Linked DNA regions of Daphnia pulex. The protein of the gene in region 1 purifies or fractionates together with the protein of each later gene. This does not show direct contact. Links are inferred from orthologs where the notes say so. Each region holds a gene or a part of one and is shown in the gene's direction. Other genes may lie near its edges. The genes, in order: DNA topoisomerase 2-binding protein 1-A-like, cell division control protein 45 homolog, NAD-dependent protein deacetylase sirtuin-1-like and serine/threonine-protein kinase ATR-like.

The links.
Region 2: the proteins of DNA topoisomerase 2-binding protein 1-A-like (region 1) and cell division control protein 45 homolog purify together in Homo sapiens (affinity purification with western blotting; 3 studies listed by BioGRID and IntAct, with this or other methods). This does not show direct contact. The link is inferred for Daphnia pulex from reciprocal best matches to the Homo sapiens genes TOPBP1 and CDC45.
Region 3: the proteins of DNA topoisomerase 2-binding protein 1-A-like (region 1) and NAD-dependent protein deacetylase sirtuin-1-like purify together in Homo sapiens (affinity purification with western blotting; 3 studies listed by BioGRID, with this or other methods). This does not show direct contact. The link is inferred for Daphnia pulex from reciprocal best matches to the Homo sapiens genes TOPBP1 and SIRT1.
Region 4: the proteins of DNA topoisomerase 2-binding protein 1-A-like (region 1) and serine/threonine-protein kinase ATR-like purify together in Homo sapiens (affinity purification with western blotting; 8 studies listed by BioGRID). This does not show direct contact. The link is inferred for Daphnia pulex from reciprocal best matches to the Homo sapiens genes TOPBP1 and ATR.

What each region holds. Positions count from the first base shown.
Region 1 is NC_060022.1:4,609,115-4,611,661, reverse strand, and holds the end of DNA topoisomerase 2-binding protein 1-A-like, read left to right. Parts: coding exon 1-129; intron 130-191; coding exon 192-1,645; intron 1,646-1,714; coding exon 1,715-1,928; 3' UTR 1,929-2,042; downstream 2,043-2,547. UniProt on the Homo sapiens protein: Scaffold protein that acts as a key protein-protein adapter in DNA replication and DNA repair. Composed of multiple BRCT domains, which specifically recognize and bind phosphorylated proteins, bringing proteins together into functional combinations.
Region 2 is NC_060026.1:14,327,746-14,331,892, reverse strand, and holds cell division control protein 45 homolog, read left to right. Parts: upstream 1-1,286; 5' UTR 1,287-1,373; coding exon 1,374-1,424; intron 1,425-1,501; coding exon 1,502-1,654; intron 1,655-1,719; coding exon 1,720-1,857; exon of another isoform or gene 1,858-1,917; coding exon 1,918-2,007; exon of another isoform or gene 2,008-2,066; coding exon 2,067-2,261; intron 2,262-2,304; exon of another isoform or gene 2,305-2,324; coding exon 2,325-2,386; exon of another isoform or gene 2,387-2,445; coding exon 2,446-2,619; intron 2,620-2,680; coding exon 2,681-2,812; intron 2,813-2,876; coding exon 2,877-3,137; intron 3,138-3,211; coding exon 3,212-3,350; intron 3,351-3,416; coding exon 3,417-3,622; intron 3,623-3,686; coding exon 3,687-3,763; intron 3,764-3,829; coding exon 3,830-3,894; 3' UTR 3,895-4,123; downstream 4,124-4,147. Other genes in the region: NAD-dependent protein deacylase, read left to right, coding at 1-210, 270-412, 485-635, 705-759. UniProt on the Homo sapiens protein: Required for initiation of chromosomal DNA replication. Core component of CDC45-MCM-GINS (CMG) helicase, the molecular machine that unwinds template DNA during replication, and around which the replisome is built.
Region 3 is NC_060021.1:10,714,593-10,718,670, reverse strand, and holds the start of NAD-dependent protein deacetylase sirtuin-1-like, read left to right. Parts: upstream 1-1,232; 5' UTR 1,233-1,318; coding exon 1,319-1,421; intron 1,422-1,754; coding exon 1,755-1,878; intron 1,879-1,951; coding exon 1,952-2,213; intron 2,214-2,273; coding exon 2,274-2,396; intron 2,397-2,460; coding exon 2,461-2,654; intron 2,655-2,712; coding exon 2,713-3,131; intron 3,132-3,201; coding exon 3,202-3,319; intron 3,320-3,383; coding exon 3,384-3,655; intron 3,656-3,719; coding exon 3,720-3,910; 3' UTR 3,911-4,078. Other genes in the region: neuropeptide FF receptor 2-like, read right to left, coding at 1-39, 103-133, 195-467. UniProt on the Homo sapiens protein: NAD-dependent protein deacetylase that links transcriptional regulation directly to intracellular energetics and participates in the coordination of several separated cellular functions such as cell cycle, response to DNA damage, metabolism, apoptosis and autophagy.
Region 4 is NC_060021.1:4,790,111-4,794,124, reverse strand, and holds the start of serine/threonine-protein kinase ATR-like, read left to right. Parts: upstream 1-1,152; 5' UTR 1,153-1,388; coding exon 1,389-1,662; intron 1,663-1,731; coding exon 1,732-2,081; intron 2,082-2,141; coding exon 2,142-2,303; intron 2,304-2,391; coding exon 2,392-2,620; intron 2,621-2,680; coding exon 2,681-2,802; intron 2,803-2,866; coding exon 2,867-4,014. Other genes in the region: NFX1-type zinc finger-containing protein 1-like, read left to right, coding at 1-728. UniProt on the Homo sapiens protein: Serine/threonine protein kinase which activates checkpoint signaling upon genotoxic stresses such as ionizing radiation (IR), ultraviolet light (UV), or DNA replication stalling, thereby acting as a DNA damage sensor.

The sequences.
Region 1 (2,547 bases):
GTCTCTGACACTCCTACGTGTTTACAACAGAATCCGTTTAGTGCAAATAATATTGGTAGAACACCTCAAGCTCGACCATCTCTTTTTAACATGCCTACACCCGATACACCATATGGAAGGCTTTTAAACGTAATGTTTTAGTTTGTAATTTTTAATCGTCAGAAAGGAATCAGCATTTTTCTTCTTTGTAGACGGACCCGTCACCCGAAACTCGAAAATTGTGGAAACATGCATTGGAAAATCGAGTTCGTTTGACGCCTCGCGCGGACGAATCCCTTAACGTTACCCCACAAGATATTCAGAAAGGAGAAATTGTGGTTTCCCCCGAAGACTCGGATTATTTCTTGAATTTACGGAAAAAATTGCGTCTTGATGAAAGTGGAGTTGAAGCACAAGCCATGTGGAAACCGGATGAGGAAAATTCAGCGGCAGCATCACCCTTAGAACCACCAAAGCCACCTTTTCATGGAGTGGTGGCATTCATACACAAGAAAGTTGAAGACCAAAGAACCGAGTTGGTAAAAGCAGTTGAAAATCTGGGTGGCAAGGTTCGTTTCCAACACTGCGAGGAGGTAACTCATTTCATATATCAGGGCAAGCTAGCTGCATCCAAAGAGATTCGAAGCGCAAAAGATTGGCACCAGAAATTTGTCTCACCACAATGGATCCTAGACTGTGAAGATACTTCGAATCGTCTAGAAGAATCGCATTATCCACCATCTTTGAATCCGAAAATGGCTTTGTCACTGAATTTCAATTCGCAACCTGCACCGCCGTCTAGTTGTACCCAGAAGCGACGCCTTCCTGCCAGTTCCAGCGAAACGGGTACTCCTAGAATTCCTTCCCGTAAGCGCTTATCATCTGATAGTGAGCCACGTGAAAACGACCTTCTTGAAACTAATGAAGAACAAGAGAATCTTGTCGTCCCAGACGTAGAGGAAGAAGCATGCAAAGAACTTTTGCAACTAGACCAAGTGCTATCACGTTCAGCTGAGCAGATTCCTCTGCAAAAGGTTACAAACGTTTCGGGGGCTAGAAACGGTAGAGGACCTGAACACGTCTTCGTTCCCGCAACGCAACCTCTGGAAACGGTAGATTCGCAATCTGCTCCAATTGTGTGGGATCTTCACGAGACACAAAAGCCAACCGGTTCACAGCTAAACAATACTCAGACGTATCGTGTCATGTTCTCTGGAATGGCACTAGACGATCGTGAAAGCTGTACTGCTGTTATCGAAGAGTTGGGAGGAACCGTTCTTGAATCCAACCAATACGACCCAACGTGTACTCACCTTGTCGTCGCCAAAGTTGGATCTAATGAAAAATTGTTGACGTCGATCGCTGCTGGAAAATGGATCCTTCATCCAGAATGGCTGATTGAAAGCGAAAAAGAAAAACGTTTCCTTGAGGAAGCTAAATTTGAATGGGGCAATCCAGAAGCCACGGTGGATTACCCAGAATCCGAATCCATTACCGAGGACGAAGCTAACATTGCTGCGGCTGCATATTATTGGCGTATTAATCGCAGTCAAGGAGTATCTGGTGGCCCTTTTCACGGAATTACCGCTGTTTTATACCTTCGCGAGAAAAATGCTTCTTTCCAGCGTTTACTTGAAGCTGGTGGCGGAAAGGTGGTTGACCAAGGGTATGATAATAAGGATGTTCAGAGTTTTCTTTCATTCATTATTTTCATTTATTTATACGTTTCTTCTAGTTCGGCTTTGGAAAACAAGAAGACGAACTTGTGCATTTTGGATTCTCGCGAAGCGAAAAAGTTGCAGTTGTCATCGTTTGCCAATAGAGGCATTTATTGCGTTCCATTGATTTATCTCAGAAATCTTGTTCTGGCTACTGACAAGAAGTTAAAATGGAGCAAGTCTGTTTTACAAGAATTTCTTCCTTATCTCGAAAACATGCCTTCTTCTTAACTATCTTTCTTTTTATTTGAATAATCTAATGTGAAAAATACCTTTTTTTTTTAAGAAAATGTTTAAAGATACTTAGATAAGTCCATGAAATACAATCATTTCTAGTTTCCTGCAGAATTGTATTGATAACTAGTACATAATGATGACAAAACTACCAAAGACGCTTAGGCCCCATTGTTGCAGATGTAAGTATCCAGGTTTTGTCTTCATCTTTCTTCATTGACATTTGTTTATGCCTTGGTTTAGTTTTACAAATGATATGAACCCTTCCCTGTCTCACCACTTTGTAGCAGTCTTTGCAACGTTTCATCGGTTTCCCCACAACTTTGAATCCACAACTAGGAACTAGTGAAGGAACAGTAGGAGTTAACAGTTGATTTTGCACATTCAGAGTTTGGGGAATTCTCATTGATAATGCACTAAATGTTCTTGACACTGTCACAGGGAAAACAGCAGGTGAAAACATAAAGAGTTGTTGCAGGTTGCTGCACACGGGTCTTACAATTTTTCTCAATGCATCCATTTCAATCGTGAATCTGCTGTAAAAATATTTAAAACTGTTACATTTTTCAGTACTCTACATGAATTACATTAAAAGATAATGAGTAGTGCAAATGCA
Region 2 (4,147 bases), on another chromosome or scaffold:
CAATGCAATTGCAGAGTTCCAACATAGAATGACTAAAGAAGGAAGGCACGTCAGTGTGATCACCCAAAATATTGATGAACTTCATCAAAGGGCTGGTTCAGTCAATGTCTTAGAACTGCATGGCAGTCTGTTCAAGACTCGGTGTCTGAAATGTAAAAAGATAGAACCCAATCATGACAGTCCCATTTGTGAAGCTCTTAGGGGAAAGGGGTAAGATTTTCCTTTTTTACTTATTTCAAATAAAAATCTAATTGTCTTACCCTTATTAGATCACCATCCCCAAATGAGGTTGGAGAATTGGTTCCAGAATCATTGTTGCCCAGATGCAAAGTTTCTTCCTGTGGAGGCCTTCTAAGGCCCCATGTTGTATGGTTCCATGAAAATCTGGATTCTGCCGTTCTCAAAAAAGCTGGTAATTAGTACAATTTTTTCTTCGATGTCAATTTTTTATGTGTCCTATTTACGTGTTTATTTTATTATCTAGATGAGGAACTTAATAGTTGCGATCTGTGTTTGGTCGTTGGAACATCATCAGTTGTCTATCCAGCAGCAATGTTTGCTCCCCAGGTTGCTGAAAGAGGGGTTCCCGTCGCGGAATTCAATATGGAAACTACTCCTGCTACTCATCACTTTGGGTATGAAACACCTAAACATTTGCATGTCGTAAAGTTCTTTTCATAACACGTTATTGACGTTTCTGGCAGATTTCATTTTTCGGGTCCTTGTGGGGAACTTTTACCTAAAGCGCTGGCACCTTGACGATCGTGCGCCCAACTGTTGAATTGCTACAGACACTACGGTTTATAAAGACCTACAGCTGATAAATTAACATGCTTGTGCATTTAAAGTCGTATTGTTTTTATTATTTGTAAAAAACTACATATGCGTATACAAAACTTTACTAGAATCCGTACGTGAAATATTTTAAAATATGCGAATATTTGATTACCCCAATAGTTGAATCTTTAACAGTTGCATCAGCTTTATCCACGATAATGATTGATTAAAATTAGATTTTTACATAAAGACGATTTATTCTAACAGAGAAAAATATCTACAAAATAAGTTGAAAACTTTTGGTTGGTCATTTGAATTTCGGATGCTAATTGTCAACGAAAACTTAAGTAAGCGTTAAAAAGAAGGGAAATAAAAAAATTAAATTTTTCATATTTTGTGTGTGGAATTCTTTGTTTGTAAATATAAAAATATCACGTGTGCTTAAAAAACGAACGAAAAAACAAAATCAATTCCTTTGTCTGTGTTAAAGGGACACCAGAAGAGGCTTCGATTTTGTTGTTAGTTTCGCGCCATTTCACGTACCGAATGAAAAGAAGAGTGAGGGATCAGGGAAAGGGTATTGTGAATGGCTAACAATGTTTCTCAGTGACCTCAAACGCGAGTTTTACGATGTTATATTGGGAAAAGTAATAATGAACGACTGATTTACCGATATTTTGTGTGTGATATAAAGTAATGTCTTTCTCATATTTTCTTTGTACAGCGTGTCTTGATATTTGTGAATTTCGACGTGGATGCCATAGCTTCATGTCGAATTCTGCAGTACCTGTTACTTTGTGATTCAATCAGCTATTCTATAGTCCCTGTGCAGAGCCAAAATGATCTCATTTCAGCCTACAAAGAGAGCTGTGAACAGGTGAAAATGCATTCGTAATAATATATATAGTGTTGAAGAAGTGAGTGTCAATATAATTTCTACAGTCGAACCACATTATTCTGATAAACTGTGGAGGAACTTTGGACATTGTAGAAACATTAGAACCATCAGAGGAAAAAATCTTCTATATTGCAGACTCACATCGGCCATATGATGTTTGTAACATCTACAACGATGGACAGGTAAATATCACTGTTTACTTTTTATAGCGAAAACTTTGTTGATTGTGTGCCATTGTTTAGGTTTGTATACTGGGAAAGGTAAATGAGAAAGAAGATATACCAACATATGAAGATATCTTTGGGAATGATGATGACGATGATGATGATGAGGTAGTTAATTAATTGGCATATGTTTAAATTTGAAACTGATAAATTTTTAAAATAATTAGGGCAGCAATCCTTCAGATGGAGAAGCAAATGGTGATGGTGATGATGATGAAGAAGAAGTTCGTGAATCTAAATCCAAACGTCAGAAATTGGATCCTGCTGAAATGGTTATGCGTCGTAGAGAAAAAAGGCTATGGCATGAGAAAAGAAAGGAGATTTTGTTTAACTATATGCAATTTTCTTTTTATTCATCGTCGGTAAGTTTAATTCAAAATCAAAACTGTATTCAACTTTTATTACCATTCATTTTCGTCGTTTAGACTGCTCTTCTTATGTTTGAACTTGCCTGGAAATTATCTAGAGACAGCAATGACTTGTTGTGGTAATAATTCTTTAAATTTTTAGCTGAGTAAGAATGTACATGGTTCATTGGTATTGCAGGTGGGCTATTATTGGTGTGAACGAACAGCAGCTTCTGGGTAAAGTCGAATCAAAAACCTCGGTTCTTGATAATGGCAAATTGCAAAGTCACATGATTCGATTGGCCCATTTATCGCAACACGGTGGAGAATCGACAGGAACCAAAGACGCACTATATATAACCCACGAAAAAGAGTAACATAATATTTTTGCTATTTAATTTACAGTAATTTAAATTAACTTTTTGTTTAAACAGTTTAAATTTGTCAATGTACCGACACTGGAGTTTATTGGAAAGCTTAAAATACTCTCCTCAAACAGCCAGTCATTTTCAACTTTGGACACTGAAAGGAGAGAAAAAACTCAACGAGTTTCTAGCTGAATTGGGGTAATTTCAGAATCCAAATATATTTTACTACTATTATTGCAATGTCTTTTATTATTGCTCACAGGCTTCCACTGTCTCAGTGTCGCCAAAAATTTAACTCTATGGATATCGAGCTTCGAAATGATTTGCGTGCCATTTTCCAGAAAAAAGTGGAAAAATACGACTTGGAAGACCTCGTTGAATACAGTTTTAATTCTCAGTATGGATTCCGGCCAAAGAATTCCGCCAGTGACTATGTCTACGCTCTTATAGCGTTGCTTGATTCGGCCGAAAAGGATAAAGATCCAGCCGATGCATTTCACGACGCACTGGAATGTCTTTCAAAGTATGCTTCTTAACCTCAAGTCATCTTCATAGAAAGAATCGTGATTGAGACATTGTTCCTTTCATATCTTTTAGCTCGAAAATGGATGCTGTTTATAAAGGAATCGAACTGGCCAAGCTTCAGCAAATGGCGATCGGAAAAGAAGTGCACACCTGTCTGGATATGGGTCACGTGATCAGCGCAGGACCTTGTTTGTACGCAGTTATCCAAGACGTAATAATAATGAATCGTATTCATCCCTGACACGAATAGCATCTAAACAACTTGTGCAACATACAGGGGACACCAGACGCCAAGTACTATGGTTATCCGCACAGTTTGCTCATGCTGGGACAGTTTCTTCTCAAAGCCCACATCTCGCGAGCACGAGGTCGTGGATTGAGAGCGAGAGAGCTTCCACTCATCATTTCAGCCCCATCGGCGTCTCGACCATCTCATTGCCTTTTATTGGGTTTGCCTCCTTTATCATTGGATTCCCCTAAAAAGTAAGTGCCTCATCTCCTAGAATTCCATTTACCGTTTCTTAACCGTTTGCAACGATTGTCACAGCTTGATTGGAAAAGCCTTTGAGCAAGCAGCTGAAAATACCCAAACAGAAATCACATCTGTATTTTTTGACTCCTCCGGTATGAGATTTGTGTTGCTGTAGGTAGCGATTTATTTACTAATTCGTTTTTCTCTTGAATGCGCAGTGATCGAGATCAACTCGGAATGCCGAACCAATTTCTTGGATTCGCTCTTTTCACTCCTAGAGTAACACAAATTTACCGAACCCGAACGGTCAAAATGGGATTAGTGATTCACATCAAACGAGTATCTTTTTTCTTCTTATTCTTATTTAAGGCTGTACTCCCTCTAGAGAATTTTCTCCCCCTTTTTTTTTTAAACATGCCATACTTGATTTTAAAACAGTGTGTAGAATTTCGTTGGCGATTTCCCGTGCAAATTATATATTATCGCCGATTATACATCCTTTATTGCAATAACTTTTTATCTACTTTACCTTTTGA
Region 3 (4,078 bases), on another chromosome or scaffold:
CGGCCAGCAAGCTGAAGACGTCCACCAACATCAGCATCACTTTTGATTTGAAATATATGAATTACTTGCCAGTTTTTTTTTTAAAATGAAGCTTTGAATTACCTCTTAAAAATCCCTCGGTTCGACAAATAACCTTCCCAAAAATGTAATGGAAATTATAATTATTTGATAATAAAACTGACTGGTTTTGAAACCTCTCCGAGAATGAACATCTGGTAGAGATCGATGATTAAAATTATCCACGGGATGAGTAGGATAGTTAAAAGATCGGCGATGGCCAAATTCCAAATGAAGATGTTGATGGAAGTGCGCAAAAATCGATTGGTGGCCATGAGGTAAACCACCAAACCGTTTCCAAGCAGACTGATGATAATGACAGGAACGAAGAATCCGATTTTCAAGGCGCACTCCCAGGTGGGACGGACAATCCACAAAGGAAATGGGAAGTTGACGTTTGAAAAATCCATTCCTGTGAAAGTCTGAAATTCGCACGAACGACTTGAGTTCGGTTATTACGTGTGGGAAAACAATGAATTCACTTACATTGAAAAAAGTAGTAATTCCTTGCTTGTCGGAAGGTAAATCCAGCAACTGAGCTCTGCTGTTGTTTATCAAGCCTGATCGTTCTCGACTGGAGTCAAGTACTTACCGGATCCCGCAGCACTAATAATCCTCACACACACTCAGCGCAATTGTTGTGACGCACGCTTTCAAACAAGAGCGGCCATATCGGGCGGCCCCGTGTGCTATGCCTATCAGATTTAATTAAGTTCGTCAAATCGCTAGACCATGTTTTACAACTTTTGGGGGTATAACGCACCGCGGGCCGGCTCACCCCTATGCGATTTGGTTTTATGGTCCACGAATATTATAAGTCAGTCAAACCTCGGGGTCGCTTCTCTAGTACAAATGCCATACGTGAATTATTTTCCCGATATCGCGTAACCTCATTCGTGATGTTTAGTACATCTTGAACTAATTTTTTTCTCAGTTTAATTTGGTGATACTGCATTTCTGATAAACCTCCTATTAAAAAAAAAATTATAATCAGCAGCTTTCCTCCTTATGCGAAAATCACAATGCCTTATCTGAACCGCAACGTGCGGAAAGTGGACTAAGGTTGATATAAAAGCTCGACAAGGAAAGGCCTTGAATTAATTCCCTTCCTATTTCATGTATACATGTCCTTGCGCATATTTTCTTCCGGTTTCGGGACGAATTCGATTCATACTGGCAACGCTGACCTGCCACCTGGCGGCCCGAAATTTGTGAAGAAGAAGAAGCGCCCTCTACCCCACGATCGACGGAAGACGAAGCAATGGCCGACGAACAAGGCGAGAACTTTCACAGTCCCGTAAAACGAAGCAGAACTTTGCTGCCGATTGACATCTCACAGTCCTTTATTGAGGGCCAACAGCTTTGTAAGTACCCGTTTGATCGATTTCATTCATTTAATGTACTTGTGAACCTAATCAAAATTGTTAGCAAAAGATTGCATTCGGTTTTGAGGTAAATGGCCTTTTGCTTCGTTAGTGCGGCCATTGGCGGATGGGGGGGGGGGAGGGGAGACGCCCTTCTTTTTGGTCGATTGCTGCGTTGCCAAAATTTTGGGGCGGCATGTTTGAATGTCATAACAGTGTGATGACACTTGTCAAATACTGTTTTGGTTTCTTGAGTTGAAATTTCTTGATGGCTGTAGAGTTGATCCATTGTGAGCTTACTTGAAATATTTTTTTTTTTTTTTTAAATTTCAGCAAATGATGCAGGACAACTAGGAAGCTGTGAAATGTTCAACGCTGGGGATTCAGGCTTCAGCGAGTTAACGTCTTTAGCCAGCAGCGAGGATGAAAATCTCACTAATGATTTACCATCTACCAGGTAATGTGGACTAATGTCTTCTTTTTATTGTGTACAAACATATGGTCTAACTTTATTATTTATTTATTTGTAGCTATGCTTTGCCAGCCATTCAAGATGCTGATGATTCAATGGGCAATTTGGAGAAAGATGATGATACCTCCTCAGATAGTGATGTTTCAGACATAAGTGGGTTGAGTGACTTGAGCAATCATGACTGGGAGCCATCATCAGGGACGATGTCTTGGGTGCAACAACAGATGCTTCTTGGTACCAATCCTCGAACCATCCTGAATGAGTTGGTACCAAATGATGCTCAAATCCCCACCCATCTTGACGATGTCACCCTTTGGAAGGTAAAATTATAAATTTGTAGCATTGTCAAGGCAACTAATCATAATTATTGAATAAAACAGATAATCGTGAATATTGTCAGTGAACCTCCAAGGCGGGAACGTTTACGCCACATAAATGCAATATCCGATGCCGTCAGATTACTCCGTAGCTGTAAAAAGATTCTAGTTCTTACAGGAGCAGGGGTAATTTTTTTTTTTTTTTTTATAAAATAATTTACCTCATTATATTTGAACAAATTTTGTTTAGGTTTCTGTTTCCTGTGGTATTCCCGACTTTCGTAGCCGTGATGGAATTTACGCTCGCTTAGCCGTCGACTTCCCTGACTTGCCCGATCCTCAAGCTATGTTTGATATCCATTACTTCCGAAAAGATCCCCGACCGTTCTTTAAATTCGCCCGAGACCTTTGGCCAGGACAGTTTACACCTTCTAAATGCCACAAGTAAACAAATTCTCTTGACAATTTTGAAATTTCGCTAATGAAACGATATTTTGTTTAGGTTCATTCGTTTGCTAGAGAAACAAAACAAGCTTTTGCGCAACTACACGCAAAACATAGATACACTAGAACAACAAGCAGATATCGAAAGGGTTATCCAATGTCATGGCTCGTTTGCTACTGCCACTTGCCTGCGCTGCCAACATCGCGTCCCCTCGAACGAGATAGAAAAAGACATAATGGAACAACGCATTCCACTTTGTCCGAAATGCTCGGATGTGTCGAAAAATGAAGACGAGGCCAGTACATCGTCGTCGGTGGCATTATCGGCCCAGCCGATCATGAAGCCTGACATTGTTTTCTTTGGAGAAGGAATGCCAGACGAATTTCACCGCGCTATGGTACTCGATAAAGAAGAATGTGACCTGATAATCGTGATTGGGTCATCGCTCAAAGTCCGCCCTGTCGCACTCATCCCATGTAAGTTATTTTAAATGTCATCTTGTAACCTTAAAGTTCATATGCAATAAGTTTCTCTTGATTCAAATAGGCGCCCTACCGAATCATGTTCCGCAAATTCTTATCAATCGCGAACCTCTCCGCCACATGGTCTTTGATGTTGAACTGCTTGGGGACTGCGATATTATCGTCAACCAACTGTGTCATTTGTTAGTATACAGTAATTTTCATCAGCCAAATTTGTTGTCTCATCAATCTTCTTGTAACAATCAGACTGGGTACACAATGGAAAGATGACATTTGTTACCGCGAACCTCTAACAGAGATCAGTCGCCTACCACCACGCCCCACTCCTTCTGTCGCCGTACCTGCACCCATTTTCCCCAAAAGAGATCAAGACGATCCTTTACGCCGGGACAGTGGGATGTCTACAGGAAGCTTAGAAATGGAATCAGCCGAGTCTGGTGATGTTGAACCAGTTACTCATGACATGACCGGATGGTGGGAGCCGCGAATCAAAGTGAATCTTGCCGATCAACTCCCAGGTAATTTATTTTTGTTCGGTTGTTGTCTATGTCATCTATATGCATTTCCTTGCATAAAATTCAGAAAACACTTATCTCACCGTCCAACCTGGTCGATACCTGTTTCCTGGTGCTGAACTCTTCTATGACCCAGACGAAGAGGTAGAGTCCGATTCTGACTCATCCTCTGATTCCAGCGATTCGTCTGGAATTGATGGAGGAGATTCAACTCAACCTTTCCCGGAGCATGGAGTAAAAAGGAAAGCGATGGATTGACGACGTATTCCGAAGCAACGACAAAGCTTCTGTTTTTACCATTGTTATGTTAACAATATGGATTCTATTTAAAAGCTTCAAGCGTGTGTATATAGACGAAATCTCTCGATGGTATTTAGTATTTCTTTTTTTTCCTGTATTATGGATAAGGGGAAGTGGAATTTTCAT
Region 4 (4,014 bases), on another chromosome or scaffold:
TCCGAAAAAAACCCGAGTATAAACGTTTGGATGAAGATACGCGCTATCTGATCCAAGTTCAAGTTGATGTCATAGAAAGAGTTTTGAGCGTCGTCAGAAAATCCCCGGTGATTACAGCAACTGGTAATCAAGCTCCAATTGGATATATGAGTCGCCCTTTGCTGGAGGATCTTTTAAATCGAACGCAACAACTTCTTTTGTCTCTTTTCCATCGCGAAAGATTTGCGTCTCAAGAACATGAATGTTTCATTGCCGAAGTCAACCGCTTGAACTTGATTCGAGCCTTCTTTTTGTTGAAGAGCTCCTCCACCTACAACAGAAACTCTTTGATAAACGAAGAAAATCGGCAGGTAGAAGAGCTGTTGATGAAGAATGTGAAGCCATTGAGGGATCGTGAGATCGTGGTGATCAAAGAAACTTTGCAGAGGATGGGCAAAAAATTGAATACTGGACTTGGCATCAGCGACATCGAACGTAAGGAAATTATTAAGGCCATGGGACTTACACAGGGACACTGGTTCAAATGTCCGAATGGCCACATCTACGCGATTGGAGAGTGTGGAGGAGCAATGCAGGAAGCCAAATGCAACGAGTGCGGCGCCCAAATCGGCGGAGGGAGTCATACGCTTCGATCAGACAACCGCGTTGCAGGCGAAATGGATGGGGCTCGATTTGCTGCATGGTCAGAGCAGGCAAATAATATGGCCAATTTTGAAATAGATGATTAAGTGTTATCATTCATCTAATCTATCTATCAAGTGTTCGGTTCTTAGTGATACCACGGTGATACAGTCATTATGGACATTTCTTAATAACTTTTTTTTTATTCATTTTCGCTCGCTGGCGTCTAAAACTCTAAAGCAAGGAATGTATGATGCTGTTTGTCCCCCAAAAAAACTAAGTTTTGTATTGTTATTCAAAATATTTTGGTGGACCACATGAAACAATATTACTCTGTCTGTATTCATTGTTTGGAATAAGGAAATTCTTCTTCGACTCTGGTTTCTTGTAATAAAGTTGTAATGTCTTGTCTTCTTGAACTCGTTTTCGTAATTGATTAATTATAATAACCTAGACTTTTTTTAAATTTTTTATCGTAGTTATTTTTCATTTTTTGCATTTTCTTTACTACTGCCTTGTTTTCTTATTTATAATCCGCCAACGCTGAAATGTAAGATGGGCGCCAAAACCTCTTAAACTGGACTTTTTCTTTGAATCCGTCTGCTATTCACACGTGATCGTAATTTGCTGATGCGGGTGATATGGTTGTTGTTAGCTTTAGTTTTGCGTTAGTTTCGTGGTGTGTGTCGTGGTACTTCAAGGTGCCCCGTTTCGTTAGTACTTTGTTTGCATAGTTTCGTTAGTACTTTGTTTGCCAAGTTTACATAATGACATCTTTAGCAGTAAAAGTAGAACAAAGTCAAAAGACTACAACTATGGAAATTCAAGAAGAAAGCTCAACAAGTGCTCACTTCAGTGCAGTTTCGGATCACCGGAAAATGATGGCCTTGCCTGCTTTAAAAATTTTAGCTGACCTAGATCATTCAGAAAAAAGCTTTGTCGTGTTGATGTCTGTCATGGACAGATGCTGCCGTGAACCAAATAATCAAGGTGTTTTTCTTGGATGTGGAAATAATGAAAACGATCACAGTTTAGCTTTTGGTAAGATTTACATTTCTGTTAATGTCTTATGCTGGTTTCTCTCAAAATTAACATCTGTTTGTTTTGCAGCTTACACTAAATGGTTCCTTGGCAGATTCGCCATTATATTTACTCGGAATTCATACATGAAAGCTTTTAATCCATTTATTGAGCTGAATGTTAAAATTTTGAATCTATTCAGAGATAAAGAACCTGCCCAATTTACTGCTATTGTTAATGAATATGCCAACTTGTTGAAGGAATTGGTAGGAATTGTATCAAAACAATCCAATGAAGAAGTCTGCAATAGAAGCTTCAAGCTACACTCCTTCGTTCTCAAGGAACCAGTAACACTTGCAGCAGATTGCCTTTTAAAGATGGATGGCTTGCAACTAAATTCATTATTAGAATGCTCCCTTCTGCAAAATAGCATTACCAAGGTATCTTTTGTAAATTACAATTTTGTTAGTGTTCTACAAAATATTTTTGCATATTTTTAGATTTTTGCTTTGTCAGCTGATGGCATTTTGCAATATAACCATCAATTGTGTGACAAACTTGTTTGTATTTTATTGGATCAACTAAATTATGGAGGAGTTAGTTCATTTAAAGCTACACTGGACTGCCTTGGGAAAATCATGATTCATAATTATCCAGCCAGAGTAAATATTTCACACATCCTTAGGCTCTTATTATGGTTTCTATTAACATTGTGGTAAATATATTTTATTCATTTATTCGTGCTGTCAGGTTCTTGAGGTTTTTCTAAGCTACGCATACCGCCTAGTAAACCTATTAATGGATAAAAGCAATCCACTGTGGCTTGGAATTAGTGAAGATAGCTACACAGAAATAGAAATCGCGCTAACTGACTGTCTCAGTCGCCTATCTAGTCTTTACGGCTTGAACAATGTAACTAATCACCAATACCTGAGGCTGATCAGTTTTATTTTACTTCATCAAAAATTCCACCAACCTTGTATAAAATATTCAATATATTTGAATGCTTACAATAACATTAATTTTGAATTTATTCTAGCTTTACTTCCCAATCTTTTACAAAGTATGCTGGGCGCACTTCAGAAATTTACATGCCCGGAAACAATTTCTCTTTGTAGATTCACACCTGATTTATGGATCAAGCTGCTAAAGCATGCTAAAGTAACTGACCACAGAATTTCATTAAACAGCAATGTTTTATTACTAAATTTCTTTACCTGTGTAGGTTGCCATTCCACCCTTACTTATCATCTTGCAGAGTGAGATGACGCCTGGAGACTGTCCCATGGAAGTTGATGAGCCACCATCTGCTAAGAGACTAAAAATTGATTTTCTTCCGCCATCGACTTCTTCTACTTTATGGGAACAAATTAAAAATAGCTGGAAAGAAATATTGAATCAACAAACGGCAAGTCAATCAATTGAGATGACCGACGCTATTGCTTTGGTTAGGATCGCAATCGTTGGAGTCAAACTGAAACTGAAATGGCGCGAAATGAACTCGGTCTTGGATGAAGCCGACTTCGAAAACTTAAACGGAAAAATTTGTGAAATTCTTTTAACCAATGAAATCAACAGTGAAGATATGGACGCTTGGATGGATATAATTTGCGAGTATTTGGTCTGCTGTATCCCACTTACTTACGTCGGAATCGATAAGAACGTCGCTATAGCGTGGTTTGCCCTATCGTCTCTTCCTTGGCTCTCGGCAGTCTCTGAATCATGTGACCTGGAAGCCAAATGGATACAGGCCAGTCGAAAATTCAAGTCTTCTTTTCTAAAGCGCCAGAGCAGTTTCGCCAGCTGCTTTGTGAAATTCCCCGTCGCCTTTTTTAAACCTTGGGCCGTTGACATTGGCTTGAAGATTTTGGACATCGAGTTTCTTCAAGCTGACGCTGAGGCACTCATCCCTTCTCTTCCATGGATCGTCCGCCACAGCAAGTCGTTCCGCGAATCAATAACACAATGCTTAACCACCATTTTGGCTTCTGGTTCTAGAGAAGAGATAAGGGAGTTAACAAAAAATGGAGCAGACCTTGTCTGTGCTCTATCAGGCAAGATGAATGTTGTTAATAATCCAGAAGATGGACTGAGTTTACGGTGCACTCACAATCTCGAAAATCTTGCTACATCATTAAAAGTAAGCATCGTTCCTGAAGATATGGCGCTCTTCTTCCTCGAGTTTGTCTTTGATGAAAATGATATTTCGCTACTCCACCGCGTGGATCTTTTTCGATCGGTTCTTTATCATTCTGCTCGAACCGAAGCCCTTCGTTTATCAATCACCAAGAAACTGCACAAAGTGGCGCAAATTTCGGTTGAAAAAAATTTACCATCTCTTCAACGAGCCATCTTAACGTGCGCAACCATTTT